Regions from separate parts of the Mus musculus genome. Here region 2 is reported to be linked to region 1. The links are microRNA targets in miRTarBase. Many come from high-throughput screens and were not tested one by one. Region 1 holds a microRNA gene; the other region holds the end of a gene's coding sequence.
Evidence for each region. Region 1 holds the annotated microRNA mmu-miR-759 (GCAGAGUGCAAACAAUUUUGAC, at 2,182-2,203, shown strand). A microRNA usually pairs through its seed, bases 2 to 8, with sites in the 3' UTR of a target mRNA and lowers its output. Matches are read on the target gene's strand: a 7mer-m8 pairs with bases 2 to 8, a 7mer-A1 pairs with bases 2 to 7 and ends in A, and an 8mer does both.

Region 2: the mRNA of Gngt1 is a reported target of mmu-miR-759. Seed matches in the 3' UTR shown: 7mer-m8 at 811-817.

Annotation. Positions count from the first base shown.
Region 1 is chr14:79,736,279-79,740,346 of GRCm38, forward strand. Mir759 (microRNA 759) reads left to right here and starts at 2,153; the gene lies at 2,153-2,250.
Region 2 is chr6:3,996,342-4,000,409 of GRCm38, forward strand. Gngt1 (guanine nucleotide binding protein (G protein), gamma transducing activity polypeptide 1) reads left to right here. Exons shown (of 3, transcript NM_010314.3): 3 at 311-1,095. The coding sequence ends at 439. Among named protein-coding and RNA genes, the nearest start is that of Gngt1, 4.4 kb to the left of the region's middle.

The DNA of each region.
Region 1 (4,068 bases):
GGTCTTATTTTATTAGTATTAAACACATTTAATTCCATACATCCCAGCTAAGAAAAAGCTCATCTTCAATGGTTGCTAAAAAAACTAAACAGAGATTTGGAGTTAAGACAAACTGCCTTGAGGAGCTGTGAGTGTGGCTGTTTACATGTGACTTCGGGCATCTTCCTCCATCAGGTGGGTCTCTCAGCTGACTGTTGTACTTAGCAGTCCGGCTAGTCTACCTACCCAGCTTTCCCTCTAAACCTCAGCTTGGGCATCTACACACAGAGGGGAGAATGCCAGGTTTTTTTCCTTATTAAGGTTGTAGTAAGAGTCGCTACAAGCATGCAACTTACTGTCCGGCTCATCGTGAATTCTCAGTCATGATGCTACTTGTAACTAACTTTCTAAAGTGTGGTTTGAAACAGTCTAATCACAAACCTCAAGCATTAAAAAAAAAAAATCCTCAGTACAGATGTTACCTGGGAAAGGATTTTTATCTTTTATTTCTTAGTTCGTCCTCTCGGTTAGCATTCGGCTAAATAAGATTCTGAATACTCACCTCCTAGACCGGGCTTTCACAGAAAACCCTCTCCTGGGTCTCAACTACAGCACTGTCTGGAAAAAAAAAAAATAAAAAAATAAAGCCGTACTGCTCACGGTTGATTGCTTTGAGAAATAGCACATTGGCAGGATTTCTTCCCTTCCCCCACCAGCCAGGCTTGGGGGTAGATAGAGCTTCACTATGGAATCCGACTGGGCTTCAGATACCAACAGCCTGGAATGTTTCAGGGGAAGACCTTGAATGGTCTCCAAGCAGGGAATGGAGGCTGAGAGAGCCAGATTTTCAGTCTTGAAGGACCCTTGATTAGTTCCCCAAAACAGAACAATCAGTTTCCAGTGACCTTGCCTGGTATATTTTGACAAAACATTTGCCGATTAACGGAATCTCATTCTCTTCCCGACTAGGTGGCTTGGATCTACTCTTCTGTGTCTGGAAAGATCACTGCACGAGATGTCTGGGACAGGAGGAAGCAGCCCCACTGCTTTCTATCACTAAGGAAGGGGAGATCTAGTGTGTTTGCATAACCACAGTCCTTAACATCTTTCTCTTTGTCTCAACACATTTTCTTTGAGCAGGAGCTGTTGAGGTAGCTCCACCCATTTTCCAGTTTCCAAGATATTTGTGACAAAACAAGAAGGAATCTTTATTAAAATGTGAAAGTGGACTGTCCAAATGGCTCAGTAGGTAAAGATACTTGCCATGTAAATCTCTCGACTTGGAGTTACGTCTCCACAACCCACTTAGGTGGAAGGAGAGAACTGACTTCTACAAAGCTGTCCTCTGACATTCAGTTGTGGACTGACACACACACACACACACACACACACACACACACACACACACACACACAGACACACACACACACACACACACACAGACACACACACAAACACACCACTGTCTCTTACTTAGGATTAGTAGATGTCTGTGTTTTCAAGTGAGTTGGGGAGGAGGAGGTAGGTTACCCAGGGTCATGGTATTATAGAAGTCAGGTTTGGGGGTGGAGGTTGGGGGGGGGTGCCAATAGGCAGGCGCAGTAGACCTTCACTGCCACCTTGTGGTCACCTGGGACCCCAGAGGGTCATTTTTCTGGACTGTCTTCCTCACTCTCTTAGGCCGCCAGCCTGAAACCTCTCCCACTGTATCTGGTGTTATTTCAATGGATCTTTTGTTATAGTTTTTTCTTACCAGTGCACTTTAACTTTAGGGGGAATTGCGGAAAGCCAGCACATTTCTATATTCTGAAAAAAAAATATTTGCGGGGAAGAAGAGGTCAGGTTCCATGAGGGCTCTTTAAGACGAAACGGCTCAAAGCCTTGCAAGGTTCCTGTTTCTTCAGGCTGCAGCCAGTCTCAGCTGCAGCAGAGATGCTCAGGGCAGAAGGCAGGCCCTGGGGTGGCACCTGTCTTTGTTATCACCTGGTCAATTGGGGAAGTCAGGACAGAGGAGGATCCGTTCATTATCTCATTTATCACCCTCGTCTGTGGTCCAAATTAGTTCTCACATCAGATTCTGATAGTATCAGATTCAATATCATCAGCTGGAATATGAACGGTATTTTTCAGCACACACACAAAAAAATGACTTTCAAGGCATGTATTATGGGCAGGATTATAATAAATTAAATGCCTAAACTGGCAGAGTGCAAACAATTTTGACTCAGATCTAAATGTTTGCACTGGCTGTTTAAACATTTAATTTGTTCCAATGGAGGTAGCAGCACAGACTAAGCATGCTAATTAAACTCGGGCTTTGGCAACGTGAGTCATCTCGTGGACACAAAGCGCGACAAACCAGGACGGAGAAAGCCATTACGTGTGGTTTCCTCGTTCTCCAAATGAACACTGTACATCCTTCAACCCTGCAGACATTAGTAATTGTTAATGAATTGTTCCATCTTTCTGAAGTGACTTTTAGATGATGCTGTGCTACTGTTACTCTGGGAAACAACTTTGCTAATTAAGTTGCAGGGAAGTTCATCAACTACAGATAATTGGTTAAAGTGATTACGTGGATAATCTGTTTCATGTTCCATTAAAAATGGAAAATGTACAGAGGAGGAGGGATACGAATGACAAGGCATCTTGCCCAAAATAATTGCCTCCACTGCCCTCAAATCACTACCACCACCATCATCAACTACATCATCACACCTTTTGGGGCAGGGGGAATGCTCAGGCATGATTCTCTTGACTGGTCTTGGTTCTGCTACGGATTGATAGAGCATGCTGGCTAAGTCTTCTCTAAGCTTCCGGTTCCTTTGTAAAATGAGGGCATTCTTGTGCTAAATTAGGGCTAAGTGATCTATTTCCCAAATGCAGTGATTTAAATAGGAAAGCAGTTCGACTCTCTTTTAGAAGTATCTCAGGTATTTGGGGCTGGCAGGGGAGCACTCCATTCTCTCACTACAAAGCCTTTGGTAGCTCCCCAATGCCTGCAGAGCCACGTTCAAAGCTGCTCACCATCTGACCCCAGTCTACACTTCTAACTTCATCCTCCTTAGCCTGTCTGCTTGAATCTGTCTTTAATGTGCTGCTCCGCCCACCTGGAATGCCCATCTCTCCTTCACCTCCGCACTTTATTCTGTCTTTATGATCTGCACTCCTTCAAATGCTCCTTCGTAAATCTGTGTAATTATTCTCTTGCCTCTGGCTGACCCCTGCTATAGCATTCATTGTCTTTTCCTTCTAATTCTGATATTTTTGGCTCCATGTCCAATTTCATTTCTTATTCATACAAACAGCACTCATGTTTCTGGAGACAGAAAACTGTATGTTATTTATGTTATTATAAATAATATTAATTATATTATTATGTAGAAAACAGTATATTATTTATCTCTTGGGATTTTTTTTTAAAGACTTCATGTATCTCAGGCTAACCCAGAACTCTATGTAGGTGAGGATGACCCAGAGCTGCCTTTTCCACATCTCGAGTCCTGGAGTTACAGGTCTAATTTATGACGTGCTAGGGAGCAAAGTTGGGGCAAAATGTTCTTCTCAACTGAACTACATTCCCAGTCTTTACCTCCTTTATCTTTATTCCCCATCCCTCTCTTATTCCTTCCTTTGATATCTAGCATTGTTCTGTGTGCAAAAATAACAGCAATAATAATTAAAATTAAATTAAATTAAATTTAAAAAGAATGTTGAACTAAATGCAACAAAATGTTGTTCCAGATTAAAAAAAAACAACCCAGTCACCAAATAGCAACCGTTTGTTAACTCAAGGGGCCAATTAGGCAATGGGTTATTCATTGGAAAATTCCAGATGTGAATCACAACCGTTCCAATTAGATTTACATCCTGTGTTAAACTAAGAACAGCAAACAGAAATAACTCCTTGGGCCCCACATCCATGTGGAATAGTGTGCCACTCAGTTCATTAGGAAGACAGCTTTCTGGAGATGGCTGTTTTTTTTTTTTTTTTTTTTTTTTTTAATTTTGTTCACGGGATGGAGAGATGGCTCAGTGGTTATGTGCTCTGGCTGCTCCTCTAGAGAATCTAGGTTCCATTTCCAGTAC
Region 2 (4,068 bases), not on the chromosome of region 1:
CTAAAGGTTTAGGAAGAGAAGAGAGACATACTTTGGAGAAATCTCCCACTTGTGTTTCCTTGACAAAGTTAGAGGAAGGGCCTGTTAGGAAATGTTAGCTCAAGGGTCAGCTTTCTATCTTCTGGAGACATCTAAAAGGGAAGTGTGGGAATGATTTTTTCCCACCCTGGAAAAGACGTGTGCAATGGCAGAAAACAGATGGAATCATCTTCAAAAGCTGTGACATAGAAATATATTGTAATAAATACATTTGTATCGTCTGCAGAATTCTGTTCTTATTCTGAGTTATCTCTGTCTCCTTCCTTTTAAGGTTTCCAAATGTTGTGAAGAAGTGAGAGATTATATTGAAGAAAGGTCTGGAGAAGACCCTCTAGTGAAGGGGATTCCAGAAGACAAAAACCCCTTCAAGGAACTCAAAGGAGGCTGTGTGATTTCATAGGCGGGAAGGCATTTTCTTAGAATATTTAGAATTTTAATGATAATGCAAACTGTTCTCCTATATAATTAAACTGTGTATGTTGTTTAAATTATTAAATTTTAATAAAAATAAAGATGTAATAATATGTAAACTCATTTTTTCATGAAGTATTTCACATAAGGTTTAACAAGGAATTAGGTGTAATATCGATGAACCCTGCTTTAGAAGCAGTGTATTCTAAACTGCCTTTGCAGTTTTATATTCCTTCATTTTTCTTTCAATATTAATGATACTTTTCTAGAACTTTTTTTTGTTTATCTGTTTTTTTTGTTTTTTGTTTGTTTGTTTTTCAAGACAGGATTTCTCTGTGCAGTCCTAGCTGTCCTGGAAATCACTCTGTAGACCAGGCTGGCCTCGAACTCAGAAATCCACCTGCCTCTGCCTCCCAAGTGCTGGTATTAAAGGCGTGCGCCACAACCGCTCGGCCTCTTCTAGAATTTTTATAGTTAAACATATTTTATTCTCAATTTTCTCACAGGCCTACAAAGATTATTGTTTCAATACGCGGATAATTTATTTTAGCAAAAAACTATGTATATATATACTTTATATGTACTGTATATTGTAGTATATTGTATACTACATATTGCCTATTATATATAATATACATTAATTATTGAAACTTTTTCAGTTGTTTCTTTTTTCCCTCACCCCAATCAATAGGGCTATTGTTAACATAGTTTCGTGTACATTCTTACTCAGTTCTACCTGTCACTAATGATGTGACTTTTTTCCAGAGTGCCAACTGTATTAAGAGTTCTGTCTGTGGTCACAGAACATAGTGAATTTAACCAGTTATGAGCACAGGGTTTGGAGACATAGAAGTTGGCCTTTGCCACTTTCCTGCTTAACCGAATTTGATGCTTTCATGCTTCTTCCTAAGGCATGGTTTCTTCTCTATGAAGATGAAGATAATACTGGTTGTGGATACAACTAAAATGCTCAGCATATATTGTCTGACACATGGTGAGACACAGTAACATTTAGCTATGAACCATCACAAATTAGAAAAAGAACTAGAAAAAAAAAACTTTCAAGATGTTATCAGTTATAACCCTTTCCATTCCATTCCCATAAAAGGTCCTCACTATCACAGTGCATACCATGCTTAGGGCAAGTCACACAAAACAGGCATTGCAGCCACCATGTCTCTGGTTCTGTAAGAAACAACAGGTATAATTACATAAAGCAAAGCATTTTATTATCATTGTCTCCTAATTGCTACCTCCCATGGACAGTGAATTTTGAATACTTTAGTCATCAGAATACCACAAGACAAAGTGATGCCCATCCCTTCGGTGATAGAAAGCAAACTGTGTACTATTTATTGGTTCTGGCTGACAGTCTGAAGGTCCACTCAGTGTTCTCCCACTAGATCATAGGAAATAGTCAACCCAACCCATTTTCTCCCAAACAGGCAAACTATAGACTCAGGATGTCTGGCAGACGTCTGAGGTCAGGGCTCAGGATCATGGGCTGATGTCGACATCCTTTTCTGAGTGTCTTCATTTGAGAAACCATATGTTATAAAGACTCCAGGGTAAATTATGCAATCTCATCAATTTTTCCTAAGGAGAAATTACTTTTCTTCTACTGAGAAGTACAAAAGTCAATTATTCCACCGACCCCAGCATTTCCATCTATTGTCTTTACTCCCTGTTCCTCCATAGCAACATCACCACCCATTTTACTATTACATGTAATTATTTCTTGGACTGAAGTCTGTCTTTAGGGGTTTTCCACCCACAAGTTAGTGTTTATTTAACAAACAGTTCCATATTTCCTTTCTGTTCTAATTGAATGCAAAGTCTTTGTTAGGACATTCAGCAACAGGCAAAGCAGACTCTAAATGCATATCTCTAGTTTCTATCCTACACCTTGATACAGATGTTGAAGTCTGATGGTTCAAAGTTAAAACCTCAGTTCATCTCCTGCATGGAGAATTTTGAACAAGCAAATATAACTCTTTGAAATGTATAAAATGAACTAAGGATGATCTTTATTTGGGTTTTGTAATCTCTTAGCTCAGAAACAGTCACATAGAAACCTTAATGAAATTCACTGCTGTAATCCCCGTAGAGTCCCTGTATAAATAAGAATAGCTGCCAGGGTACCCTGATCTTCCCATTAAAAATTGGTCAAGTTGATCTCCTCACCTGAAAGGTCTCCCAACTCCATTTCGGCCTGTCTTTTTTTTAGATAATTTCTTATGCCCCCTCAAGATTATATTTATATACTTTGAAGTCATTTAATATTACTTTACTTTGAAATATAATTTTAGAGTCTTCATTTAAATGTGATATCATAATTTTCCAAAGCCTAAAGTTTGTAACAGCCAAACCTATCACAAATTGTTACTAGAATTAGACTGACTTCATTAATATTTAATTCGACTAAAAACAGAAAAGCATATACTTGCCAAATGTTTATAGTGGGCAAGGCAGAATTCTTATGTACTACGTTAAGTTTATTATTGAATAAAAATACATATTGTTGGATTTTCAATAAGCAAGAACACAAAGGAGAGAATGGCAGAGGAAGATATCCAGACAGAAGGAAACGAAGCTGTGACTGTCCCCCAGACAGCACAGCTGCCGCTGACAGTGACTCTGTTTTCTTTAGAAACTGTCATTTCAGAGCCAGGGGTTACTTGGTTCAGGGGAGTTGGCTAATGCAGTCAAAAGCAAAACAAAAAACAAAGAACAACAAAATCTCCTAGAATGCCTCACTGTTTGGCTCTTCAACAAAGCCTGGTGGCGTGTTAGTAAGCATGAGTAATTATACAATGCATCATTTGAATCACATACACTTTGCGGTGCAGCTTGTAGGGCAGTTCACGGTGTAGCGAAAGACAGAGAGGAAGACCAAGATGAAGACCAAGAAGAGGAGCCAGAAGAGGAGGGGGAACAGCCCAGTCTTATTTGGATTGAGTGGATTTTAGTCAATTTTCTGAAAATTCTGATCACAAATTTCATCAGTTCCAAAACAGAGTCATATGTGAAAGCTGGTTACGTTTGACTACCAGAATTATCATTTGTGATAGGGTCTTAAAGTCTTATATGAACATCATAGAGGAAGGAACTGGTTGGTATAGCAAGTTACAAATGCCTGTGGAGGTGTTCTGGGACTTGAAGGCATCTCTGTCTAAAACAGGAAGCACATGCAAATGCTTAGCCTTGAATGAACATATAGTTCTACAAGTTGTCCTGCGATTGCTTTTTTTTTTTCAAATCAAACTCCTATAAATATCAAATGAATCCAGAGCAAAACACTTATGTGCTAAAATACCTTTCTTAAACCGTCATTTTAATAACCTATGCTATTATCATTTATTTTTATGATTTCAGAAGGCAGATTTTGGGATGTGACCTAGTTTGTTTTTTTCCTAGAAAAGAGAAGCAGAAACGAATGTGGATTTTTTTTTATTCTTTTATTTTTTTATTATTTTAACACACATGATAACATAAGGTCCAGAATACTGTTCCAAGAATTCAAATTAGCATTTTTTTTACTGCAACATAACTTCTTTTGATGTTTTTATAAAGAACCTCCTTCATATGATTTTTAGCAGTAAACTTGATATATTTGGA